Arabidopsis thaliana: one gene and its partner. Each later gene encodes a partner of the first gene's protein in a complex. Each region holds a gene or a part of one and is shown on either strand. Other genes may lie near its edges.

Region 1 (6,557 bases):
GTGTGAGAACAGCCATTGATTCGAAAAGATTCAATCCTTGGTTTTCGTTCAACACATATCTCGCAGTCGAAAGAGCGTCTTCGTCGTTGTATTGGTCAAACAGAGGACTGTCCCTTTTCTATGGAGATTGGTGTGAAACAGAGGATTCTTACATCGTCATCTTCGTCGTTGTATTGGCCAAGATCTATGTAGTTTGTGAAACCGGATTTGAATGGAGTTTGAGAAGAGTGTATTGGCCAAGATCCTCGACGGAGATGGCGTCACGTTTGGTTGAACCACGAGCGGAGAGAGGTGTGGAGAAGATGAAACGGTCGGAGTCATTGACGGTGGCTGCATTCATGGAATCTGTGGCCATTTTTCTGATTAGGGTTTTATGATTTTTCTAGTTTTTTGCTTGTCTTGTTGGGTTGGTTACTGAAGCGTCTCATTTTTGGTGATGCTAAACCTAAAACCTAAGGCTGTCCCAACTCCCAAAACTGCTTCGTGTTTAATGGGTAATTAGGAAATAAGAATGCTATCATTTCAAAATTTGGACGTAAAATCTTTTCTAAATTAAGAATTTGAACTCAAGGTACCAAAAACCTAAACAGACTTGAAGATACAAAATAGATTACGAGAGAATGACTGGAGTAGACAAGAGACAAATCAATGCTTGGATCTCTTAGGAGTTTGTGCCTCGGCGGCATCCAAAGAAGCAACATCCCCACCCTCCTTCTCCATCTTCTTTCTCGTAAGTATCTTATTGATCTGGTGAAGTTCATTATTGAGCTTCTGGTCACGGTCACGGTTCTGCTTCCTTGTCTTTCGACCATCTTGCATCTTTACCCCGAATTGGAACGCCGCTTTTGGCATCGCTTCCTTCTGCTCATTATATTTTTCCCATTCCTCTTCTGTCTCAAAGTCCCATCGATGTAAACCACCCTTTGCCTGTTCCATGTACATTCAACAACCAGATACTGTAATTTTGCTCTTCCACAATAAATAACAAGGAACATGTAATTAAGTCAGGGCATACCTTTCCACCCATGTCCATTTTAGACAAATCAGGTTCTTCATCACTACCGACAATCTCATGGTTGTACTCTTGGTAACCTGGATAACACTCTGAATAACTCTCGGATACAAAAGTTGGATCTTTCTCCCTTGCGTCACTCTCCCTCAACTGTTGAAGCCTTTGGTCATCACGCTTGAAAACCGATCCCAAACCCCTATCTTTCTCTTCCTGCGACATGAGTTGAGGATCTAGTAAAACATCGGTTTCTGGTTGGACCTCGTAACCCTCCATTCCAGGTTGAAGGTACTGCTCCTGATACCCAGTTTGCTCTGCATATTGGTATTCCTGCCACTCTCCGGGGTACCCAGGAGCCAGTCCTTGAGTTTGCATTGCACCATATGCACTCTGGAAAAACACACAACCACCAGAAAAAACCTAAATATGGGAATAAATGACATCTAATAACTACATACCAAGACGCAAAATTTGCAGACGAGGATCAAGATTTGAGAATAAATACAACCAAGGATTAGCTAGGGTGAACTGACCATATCTTGCCATTCCTGACCAGCAGATGGCTGCACTGGACCATAAGCAGGCTCAGCGAAATAAGGTACCTTCTCCTGCACTGGACCATAAGCAGGCTCATCGAAATAAGATACTTTCTCCTTATCCCTGGGAGATTCTTCCATGTCCTCAGAAATAGGACTCTGTGTCACATCTTTACCAGGAACCGTGTAATCGACGCCTTCACCAACAAATATGTCATCATCGTCTGTCCTGGCAACAGGGGGTTCTTCTTGTTTCGTACTCAAATCCAGATGGTTTATCCCAGGTGGTAATGGCGGAGGAGGAGGTAAAACTTCCCTGTCACTTATGTTCACAGAAGATCCATTCTCAATCTTAGATTTATTGTCGTCTTCATCATAATCATTAGCAATAGTTGACATCTTTCCTGCATTTGAAAAGTTGCAGTGGATGTGATTAATAAGGCAAAATAATATAAAAAATGCATGAACGTATGATAGAATAGAAATTAGCAAATTATCTTGCTAAAGAATCAGAAACCAGCCAACTTGTATCCAATTGTATGCTGATGTGAAACAAGAACTACAACATGTACTGGCACCACATTAGCATAATAAAAATTACTAACAACAGAGTTTACAGAACCATCAAGGGACGGCAGCAACATATTTATGATACAACTAAATTTCTTCACAATTGATAAGCGAGAACACAACCAGACATCAGTAGATACTACTAGTACTGTGGTCAAAGACTAGGTACACTCTTTACATTCTTGGCTCCAAACTGTAAGACCAGATAATTAACAAATTTCGGGAAAAGCAGAGAACTTATTTAACCAGTGTAAGTGAATCAGGTCTGCTAATACTTAAACTTTACAAAAAAATGCACCAGTAGATGCAAAATACCTTTCCCATCTTTTTCTTTCTTTTTCTTCTTGAGAACTTTCCCCGACGACCCAAGGCGAAGATATGACATGATTTTAGCAATTCGATCTAGCACAGAACCATCAACATTGACTGTGACAAATTCCTGTTGGGGAGATAGGACAGAGAAACAGTGCCTGTTAAATGAAACAATTCTCGCAAAAATTGCAGCAGTGATTTCAATTATAAATTTTTATTATGTTCAGTAAACAAACATATTAAGCAACGTTAATTTTGGTTCCAGATTAGTAGAAAGAAAGTTGAATTTAGTTTAAAAAGATTTTTATAATTACTTAAAGAAAATCTATGCTTCTACCAAAACTAATGACTTATATAATCGATATTAGCTGTATTGAATACATCAACACTGTAAAAGAAAATAGGTTGCAGAGACAGGCAGAGTGGGCTTATTTTCATTAGAATCAAAACGATCATGTCACATCACTGCTTACAGTCTAAAGATTTTTCCAGGATCAAGAAGACTATTACAACAAGGACTCTAAGTATACATACCTCGGGCACCGGGCAGTCAGCTTTACTCCTATATAACGTGGTCGGTATGTCATGGGTATAGCCACCTTCCTGAAAAGCAACAAATAGAATTAAAAACAAAAGGGAATAAAATTAATATACATCAACAGGGAGGCTTTCAAAGGGCAGACTAAACCCATACTATAAGCTTAGCCTAGCAGCTTAGCTGAGACTAAGTATCTCAAAGGAAACTTCATACGTAACACTACCAAATATCAATAGTATATTCAACTGACTTTTCTTGTCGTATGGTGTCTCTATCTGCAAGAGAAAAAGAATATGCTTCTTCAAGAAGAGCAGACACGTTAATCGAACTAAAAAACCTTTACAACCAATTCTGCGTATAAGGTTTCTAACAAATAGATTAAATCGTGAATAAATCGCTAACAAGGTAATGCAAAACAGCTTAAGCTACCTTCTTAAAATTTTCCTGAGACATGTATTTAAACTAGAAGCGAAGATTTAACTAAATATTAACTAATACTCGAAGAAGAATCGTTGAAGCAGAATACACATGTATGACTACTTCCTAAGACAAACAACGACATAAGAACATGTAATAAGATTGAATCTTCCTGAAAAAGAGTTAACAAGCAATACCATATCATAGACAAATGTCATTCTACCGGGAAGAAACATCTCATTAGACTTGATGATAGTCTGAGGCTTAACAATCCACTGGTAAACTGACTGAAACAGATCAAAGACAAGAGAAACAAAAAACATCAAGCGCGTTAACTACATCCCAAAACTTGCTCCTCATCTGCAAAGTTCAGAACAAAATTGCATACCTTTGCAGCTATGGTACGGAAAGTAACTCGCTGATCTTCCTTAGGCGCACTGTTAATATAGTAAAATTAGCACTTGAATCAAAGAAGCCAAATGAGTCAATAAACCAAGTATAACCAAATCTACCTAGTCTTCCCACCATCACCATCTTCACCATCAGGTTTCTTAACGATTTCGCTTCGTACTTTATTCAACAAAGCATAATCCAAACCCTTAACTAAATGGGTATGTTCAACATCACCTAAACCATATCATAAAAACAACATAAGCACCTCAAAAAAAAAACATTTTGAATAAATTTGTAAACCTAACACAAACCTCCAAGATATTTGCTGTTCTCAATAGATATCTTAAGTGCATCAGCAGCACTACAACAAAAAAAAGTACACAGCAACAGAAATTTAGAGAAACCCAATTAGAATTTAGAAAGATAATGAAGTAATCGAGGAAAGACAAGTGCTACCGGATATCGACAGCTCCGGGAGGAGCAACGGCATGGAAAGAACTAAGCTCTGATGGATCATAATCAGGATTTTGATTCTCTCTTCTTTCTTTAGCACGATCTCTGTATTTTGGATTATCGGATTCCTCTAGTTTCTCCTCTCTGTGAAGGAAAAGTGACGAGTTTTGATGTTTTTGTGTAAAAACCCTAGCTTTTGAAGAAAAGGGGAGAGAGGAAAATGAAGATTTCTGACCTCCGACGAGCGGTTTTCTCCTTGTGATGCGATTTTGAAGGTTTCATTAGATTTCGTTAATTCGATTTCTTGTCGTGAAACAGAGAAAAATCAGATTTTGGCTGAAGTTCTTCGTTCTGATGATATCTGTGTCTGTTTCGATTTCAAAGCGTTGGTGGTTCTGGTCAGGGGAAATTAGAATTCGATGTTTAATTTAGAAACCGGATCTAATTTAAACCGATAAAATCGTTTAGCGACCGGGTTTGATTATCGAAACCTGGTTCACAAATTTTTACCATCCACCAAGGACATTAAAAACCCAATTCATTCATAATAATATTACCTTAGATCAAAGATCAAACACTACACATACAATACAAGCAACATTCCCAAAACGATGGTCTTATCTAACATTATCTACAACAAAAGTAGGCCAACATGGTCCTCATAGATGTTATGTAGACTCAAAACTATTTCTCATCGAAAAAGAAATGTAATGTAGACTGCGTCTCCTTAGATTTCTTGATGTTAGATTTCCCCATTCCATGCATCTTTCCTTGTTTCCCACTGCTTTTAACATTTTGCAACCTCTCATAGTGTTTCTGTGGCTTTTCTTGAGCTGAGAATACCTCATAGTCTCGCTTTGTCCCACTCTTTTCGCTAAACACTAAGCCACCTTCCTTCGTCGTCGGGCTAGTTAAAACTGTCTTCTGGTTTTCATTTCCTGGAATATCTTCGACAGCCTCATGCAGCTGATTCAATCTCTCATCTGCAGTAAAGAAATGATGGCTTTGAGTCTCGGGTTCTTCTTTTGAGATTCTTTGGAGATCAAGGATGTAGGACTCAGCCGGTATACTGGCACTGCTCTCACCTGTTTCTTTAGTAAGACCAGTCTTTAGGGATTTGCCTTCTTCCTTTGTACCCTCCTGAACATCATTCTTTACAGGTTCAGGAAGTGACGCAACTGCTGAGTTATCTTCAACAAATGGTTCTGCTTTCACAATCTCTTGAAACTCCAGATTTTTGGCTACATTCGACATATCTTTCTCCCCGTCTAGTTCTTCAATTTTCTTAATGCTGTCAGAAAACGTGTCCTTTTCAGCCGTAGGTTCCTTTTTCAAATCAACTATGATATTTGCATCTGTTGATTTGGTTTCTTTGTCTCCTTCATCTGTTTTGGGCTGCTTTGTTGAGAAAAACTTCGAGATCAAGCTATTTTGTGAAGTCTTTAGCGGTATCTGCAGGTGGCATAATCCTTATTTGAAATGACAATAAGCATACAGACTGTACAAATACATAGTGATCCTGACAATATGTTTAATGCGACTTGAGATCAAACTTGAGATTTGAGTTGTACACTACTAAGAAAGGGAAAGATGTTAACCGTACCTGTTGAATACACTCTGGTCCATCAAACGTTGGTTTACCAATTGCAGAGGTTACTGGATACCATACCTGAAAGTTCAAACTTCAATCTCAAGTAAATGAAAAAGGAAAGACCACTCTTATATGCGAGGAAGTAAGCAATTGCATACCAAATCCGATTTTTCATATGGTGAAAGTAATGGCTGCAGTTTCGTTGTCGAGGGATCATCTAACCATGTGTCGATTGAATCCTTATCACCAAGAATTACAGGCATTCTGTCTTACATGAAAAATAAACAAACTCACGTGTTAACACAAAAATTCAGGGCTGCTGCAAATCAACAAAACAATCATCAACAGCCGCTAATAATGTAAGCATTGTATAAGAAACGCTACTCTCAATATTAAACTACCTTAAACAGCCACTGCTTGTTCTATTCCAGTACTTAAAGAAGTTAAAGATTCTCATGCAATTACATATGTATCTTTTCTAAAAGAGCTTATCAAATCAGATGTAATACGAAAACAGAAACAACTCATACTACTATGATAAGTTTGTATCTTTATTAATGTGCGGGTTTGATTAAACCTCATTTTAAACAACGAGGAACACAAGCTTCAAGCGTCCATAGACAAATATACAATTCCCAACTTCATATGCTATGTGTTTCATTGTGCTACTGAGAATCATTACTGAATAAGAAAAAATGTCACACGATGTAGCCAGTGTATATATTACTAACCATGGAG
Region 2 (5,449 bases), on another chromosome or scaffold:
GCTTGAGACCTTTGCCACTGATCAGACTAACCTCAAGGATTCCAACAGCCATCTCTGTAGAGTTATTTTTTAAGTTTTTGGGGTTTGTGTTGTTTCTAAAGAAAAAGAAGAAGAAGAAGAAGAAGAAGAAGAAGAAGAAGAAGAAGAAGAAGGAGAAAGAGAAACGATTGATGAAGTGGATGTGTCAGACAAAGTCTTTAAATACAGAAGCAAGAACACGCAGACTTTCTCGTTCACATAATGATTTTTTACTATTCTTATTTACTCTTTTTCAATTTTCAAACATAACCTGCGTCGTGGTTCCAAGACTTGATCAAACCAAACCAAACCATTATTACGTAACAGGAGGCAAAACCTAAAGTTTATAAGTCTGGTCAACTAAGCTAAAATGACCATCTTACCCTTACTTAGTTTAAGGAAAGACTCTTGGCTGCTTGAAAAATGTATACGAACCCAATTAAAAGTAGAAGTCTTTGGACTTTTGATCAAAACAGACCCAATAAAACATCATTATGGCTTCTTCTAGATGAATGAGTCTTTTTATTCTCTTCTTCTCAGAAATTCTTAGACCTGACTTTCCTAATTAAATATCTGCAAAGGCTGCTCGAGAACAAAAAAAGGTCGCAATTCTCGACCTCGACCATACGAGAGAAGACTTGGTTTACTCGCTCATTGTGGGTTTTAAACCTGTCTCACATCAAAAGCATAACCAATCTTCTTCATACAATTTTATAATAAGACCCATAAACCGAAACCGATTTCAAGTAACATCACATCACAAGACAAAATATCTTTGACAAGCCAGAGTAAGGAGTTTTTAAAGACACAGAGACGCACTACTAGAGAAATGCAAAACCCATAAAGCGTTGCACAAAGTTTTGGTCGGCCACTTCTTCACATAAGTTTCATCTTGGAGATACCTCCACAGACCTGGACCTGGATCCTGATGGCGACCTTGAAACTGCTCTTCCACCACGACGTCTATCCTCTGCTTCATAGCCCGGTTTTCTATTAAGACCAATCAATGTCCAGATACGAAAAATCAGACACAATCTTCAGGGGCAAAACAAATCAGACACCATGTTTCACTTACTCTCTAATCTCATTGTCTCCATTTCTGTCCCGATCTGGAGCAGCAGCAGCAGCACCTTCATAGCCAGGGGAGTAGGACCTACGACTGTAATTTTCATCTTCTTCCCCACGAGGAGGACCTCCTCTTCGTCTTGGTGCAGGAGAGTAAGACCTGTAACACCATTATCTAAAACCATATATACTTCTTGTTGACTTGATGATGATGGAAATGTATGTGTGATGAAGCATGTTACCTTGATCGGTATCTGCTTCTAGAATCTGACGGACGACGTGGAGAACGTGATCGAGAGATTGAACGTGAACGAGACCGTCCTGAGAACAAAAAATCATAAACATACTCAAGCTGTGTATACAAACCATGAGAACATGTATAAACAAGTGCTTTCTCAAGCTGTGTATAAACAAGTGCGTCCCAATCTAGCTGTGCTAATATTTGTGTAAACTTTGCTGGTATAGAACATAACATGTGCATAACCAGAGAGAAAATTACTAACCATGAGAACGATCCCTGGAGCCTGAAGGTTCCCTGAAAAATTGAGACAACGCAACGATTATTTCCTTCTCAACTTCTTTTCATAAATGATGGATAACTTGCAGAGCATTAATCACGAAGAGCGATTTGATTGATAACTCTTTTGCTTAAGCAATCAGAAATATGGAAACTTACCTACTACGAGTCCTAGTCTTCACACGCATCTCTTCAGGCCTTTTCCTAGACTCTGAAGCAACAACCACCGTTATCTCTCTTCCAGCAAAGCTTCTCCTGTTCATGCTTCTTTGAGCCTCCCCAGCATCATATGCATCAACAAACTCCACAAACGCAAACCCCCGCGGTTGCCTGCATCATTTATCAGAAGCTTATCATTCCAAGTGGTTGATGGTTGAAAGCAAATGCACAAAACACCAGATAAATCTAGAATTACCAGCAAAATCAGCCTACATTCTACAGCTTCTGAGAACTTCTAAGTAAACGTCATCGTGTGAGAACTTCTAAGAAAAGCAGAGTTCTACTTACGCTAATATGATTAGTAGCTGACCCTTTCATAACAGTTCAAGCATATCAACTCGAAAAGAGGCAAGCATCTTGTAAAAATAAGATGCACTTGATCCCAAACTTAAGTTCTCTTCAGGTCGTCTTCCCCAAAAAACTTCTAAGGTTTTGAGTAATTTACTGTATAGCTTCATAAAGAACATGCTTCACTTATTACTGCTTCCATTCAGAACATTCTTCACTTACTACTTGCTTCCAAACAAAACATTCTTCACTTATTACTTGCTTCCAAACAAAATATTCTTCACTTAATACTTCCTTCCAAATAAAACATGCTTCACATATAACTTGCTTCCAAACAAAACATTCTTGATTTGAAATGACCCTTAATATCCTTAAGTTAAGATTTTTTTCATGAGGCCTTCATCAAATGTGGGGCTTGGTCTTGTTTTAACTTCAAGCCAACATACCCCCTGGGAAATCAGTGGAATGTTTAATTTACTATGAAAAAAAGAACTCCAAAACAAAAAGCTCTGAAAAAATCGAGAACTCAACCAAAAGGACCTCTTCTCACCTCGAGAACTTAGCTCGATCAAAAAGTGGAGTGTATAAAAAAAGTAACATGCACAGGTTGCGCCAAAATCAAAATTCAAAACTCATATGTCACTTGCAATTTTCCTCACTTTGTGCACAAGTTGAAGACTTATGAACATCCTTTTTAATCAAAACAAATGGTTCAGCATTGAATGTGAAGCAGCAAAGTGTTTAGACAGCATTTTTCAATCGTAAAGAAAGCAAATTCTACAGGAAAACAAGAATCATATGCTAAGCCATTACCTAACTAGTCCATCTATAAAAGATTCACACCTCAAAAGACATAATTCGCAGCACAAATTTCAGGTACAGTGAAAAAGATCAAGATATCGAGAAGGAAAGAGGAGGCTTACCCTGAGTAATAGTCTCTGGGGATATAGACATCTCTCACAGGTCCAAACCTCTCAAAGGGCTCACGAAGCTCTTCTGGTCTACAAAATCAAAAACAACAAAATCAACAACAACCCAACGAAATCTTCAAAGATAAACTAAAACAAAATCAAAACTTTAAACCAAAGGAAGAGAATTTACCTGCAATCAAGAGGAATGTTACGAACCAAGAGACTTCCATGGCTAGATCCTCTACGTCCACCACCACCACCACCACCACCATATCCACGTCGAGGAGGAGGAGGAGGAGGACTTCTACCTCGACCACCGTATCCTCTCCTCGGAGGACTGTAATAAGGCGGACTGTATCTCCTCATCACCTACCATAGAAACAAAACGATTTCAACGCAAGATCCTCAATTTCATCAAAACAAAAACTTGTTTCTTGGAAGAACAGTGATAAATTAGGGTTTACGGTCGGAGGATTGTGGAATTTACCTGCGACGGAGTTAATTTGATCACTTGAGAGTAGCAATGTTCAAAGACAGATCTGAAGTGAACCCTAAGCCCTTCTTATGAGAGATCAGAGAATAGAGAAGAAGAAGACAGATCTTTTTCTATTGATCGGAGAGCTTGGCCCATTTATTAAATGGGCTTTTGGCCTTATCGCGTTTTTTCCTTTTTCGCGTATGTTTTTTTAAATGGAAAAAGGGAAAGATTGTTGATTGTTGACAATTAGAGAAACAGTAAAAAAAATTGGGGAAAAAACAGTTTTAGTAACTTTTAACATTTATGACAAAAACAAAGTAACCCTTAAATATATAAGTTTACTGAGGTGACTTGTGTTTTGGAGATTCTCGTTCTAAATTGATATAGGAATTTTGAAAACCTCAAATTGAGTTAGTTCTTGTTCTAAAATAGTGACTTATTTGGCTATGTTGAATAGTTATTGATATTGATTTAACTCGAGATCCATTTTGGCTTAATTAACGTAAAATTTATTTATTTCTGGTTGATGACAATGTTCATGGAATTTGATATTTATGGTATTTTGTGAACTTCGGAATTGATATTAATGTTACATTATGAGTTTGTTGTACTATTCTGTCTGTTTTTGGCTACAAGTTATTTATGATTCAATCATCAACTATACTAATTAAAGTCATTTTCATAAAAACAAATCAACTTGACAGAAATTAGTTACATATATAGTAAACTAAAATGTTAGAAGAGAGTGGAATTGATCACTACCACATTTTGGCATATATCACCAAACTATAGATAGAGAGAAAACAAGTATCTCCAAATCGAATATTTCAGGAGCAAAACTATAAGCAGTGTTACAAAATGTCAAAATCACTTCGCACAATATTACAATACACAAGAAGAAGACATGAAGAGTACCTAACCAAGTAACCTTATATTTCCCTCTACCTACTACAATCCAACGGTTTTTTTGTTTAAACCGTTTCTCTGGTACTTGTCTTCTGTTTTCAATCCCACAAGTTTCTTGGTATCCTTAACCTTAAGCGGGTCAACATTGGCCGGTTTAACCACGCTGTCTTGCAGCTGTACCAAGGCTCGAACCACTTGGTCCATGGTCGGACGTGATTTGGGTTCGAATGATAGGCATTGCACAGCAATGCTTGCCAGTCTCACTGCTCCTTCGGGTTTGTACTGTGAGTTAAGCCGAGTGTCCACAATTAGTAGAACCTTTCGCCTGCTTGTGAGGTATGGTCGAGCCCAATCCACAAGGTTTTGCTCCTTGGCCGGGCGGTTATGGTCTAGTGCTTGCCTTCCACATAGTAGTTCTAGCAGAACAACCCCGAAACTGTATACGTCGCTTCTAGCATTTAAGTGGCCTGAAAAAAGATAGAAAGATGAGAGAACGAAACTAGCTATCAACCCATATGCTCCTTTAACCACATAAATTTTATAGTTGCTATCTTCAAATTTACATTAAAAACCAGTGTTAGGCACCATGCAACAGTCTTACATTTTCTTATCCAACCATTATTACTTGCATCATATCTTAGTGACAGAATGTACCTGTTGAGACATACTCAGGAGCTGCGTACCCAAAAGTACCCATGACCCTTGTACTAACATAACTTTGTTCTCCCATTGGACCGTCTCTCGCTAAACCAAAGTCTGAAAGCTTTGCGTTGAAGTCCTGTTGTTTGAAAGACAAAACTCAGTATCTTTTAAGTCGTTGATAAAGACAACAAGTAGACATCGAAAGAGAAGAATACCGAGTCCAGTAAGATGTTTGACGCCTTGATGTCTCTGTAAATGACTTTGACGGGATCACTATGAAGAAATGCAAGACCTTTAGCTGCATCAAGTGCAACCTTAATCCGTAGAATCCAAGATAGCGGCTTAAAATCCTTATTTCCATCTTCAAAAAAATCATTCAAACATAAGAACAAACAACCTCTCAAA

What was found.
Region 2: SMU2 (region 1) and SCL30 share a complex: the UniProt entries of both Arabidopsis thaliana proteins name them as parts of the spliceosome.

The regions. Positions count from the first base shown.
Region 1 is NC_003071.7:11,254,404-11,260,960, forward strand, and holds SMU2 (RED family protein), read right to left. Parts: upstream 4,668-6,557; 5' UTR 4,511-4,667; coding exon 4,464-4,510; intron 4,373-4,463; coding exon 4,232-4,372; intron 4,137-4,231; coding exon 4,087-4,136; intron 4,010-4,086; coding exon 3,895-4,009; intron 3,820-3,894; coding exon 3,771-3,819; intron 3,670-3,770; coding exon 3,580-3,669; intron 3,031-3,579; coding exon 2,962-3,030; intron 2,555-2,961; coding exon 2,431-2,554; intron 1,950-2,430; coding exon 1,543-1,949; intron 1,400-1,542; coding exon 1,016-1,399; intron 928-1,015; coding exon 646-927; 3' UTR 529-645; downstream 1-528. Other genes in the region: AT2G26470 (embryonic stem cell-specific 5-hydroxymethylcytosine-binding protein), read right to left, coding at 4,913-5,680, 5,832-5,897, 5,978-6,087, 6,551-6,557. UniProt on the Arabidopsis thaliana protein: Auxiliary spliceosomal protein involved in splicing of specific pre-mRNAs that affect multiple aspects of development.
Region 2 is NC_003074.8:20,558,959-20,564,407, reverse strand, and holds SCL30 (SC35-like splicing factor 30), read right to left. Parts: upstream 3,607-5,449; 5' UTR 3,506-3,606; intron 3,388-3,505; 5' UTR 3,385-3,387; coding exon 3,209-3,384; intron 3,109-3,208; coding exon 3,031-3,108; intron 1,931-3,030; coding exon 1,760-1,930; intron 1,619-1,759; coding exon 1,587-1,618; intron 1,405-1,586; coding exon 1,326-1,404; intron 1,244-1,325; coding exon 1,094-1,243; intron 1,009-1,093; coding exon 906-1,008; 3' UTR 523-905; downstream 1-522. Other genes in the region: AT3G55470 (Calcium-dependent lipid-binding (CaLB domain) family protein), read right to left, coding at 1-52; PBL1 (PBS1-like 1), read right to left, coding at 4,445-4,869, 5,057-5,180, 5,260-5,405. UniProt on the Arabidopsis thaliana protein: Involved in intron recognition and spliceosome assembly. Probably active at the 5' splice sites.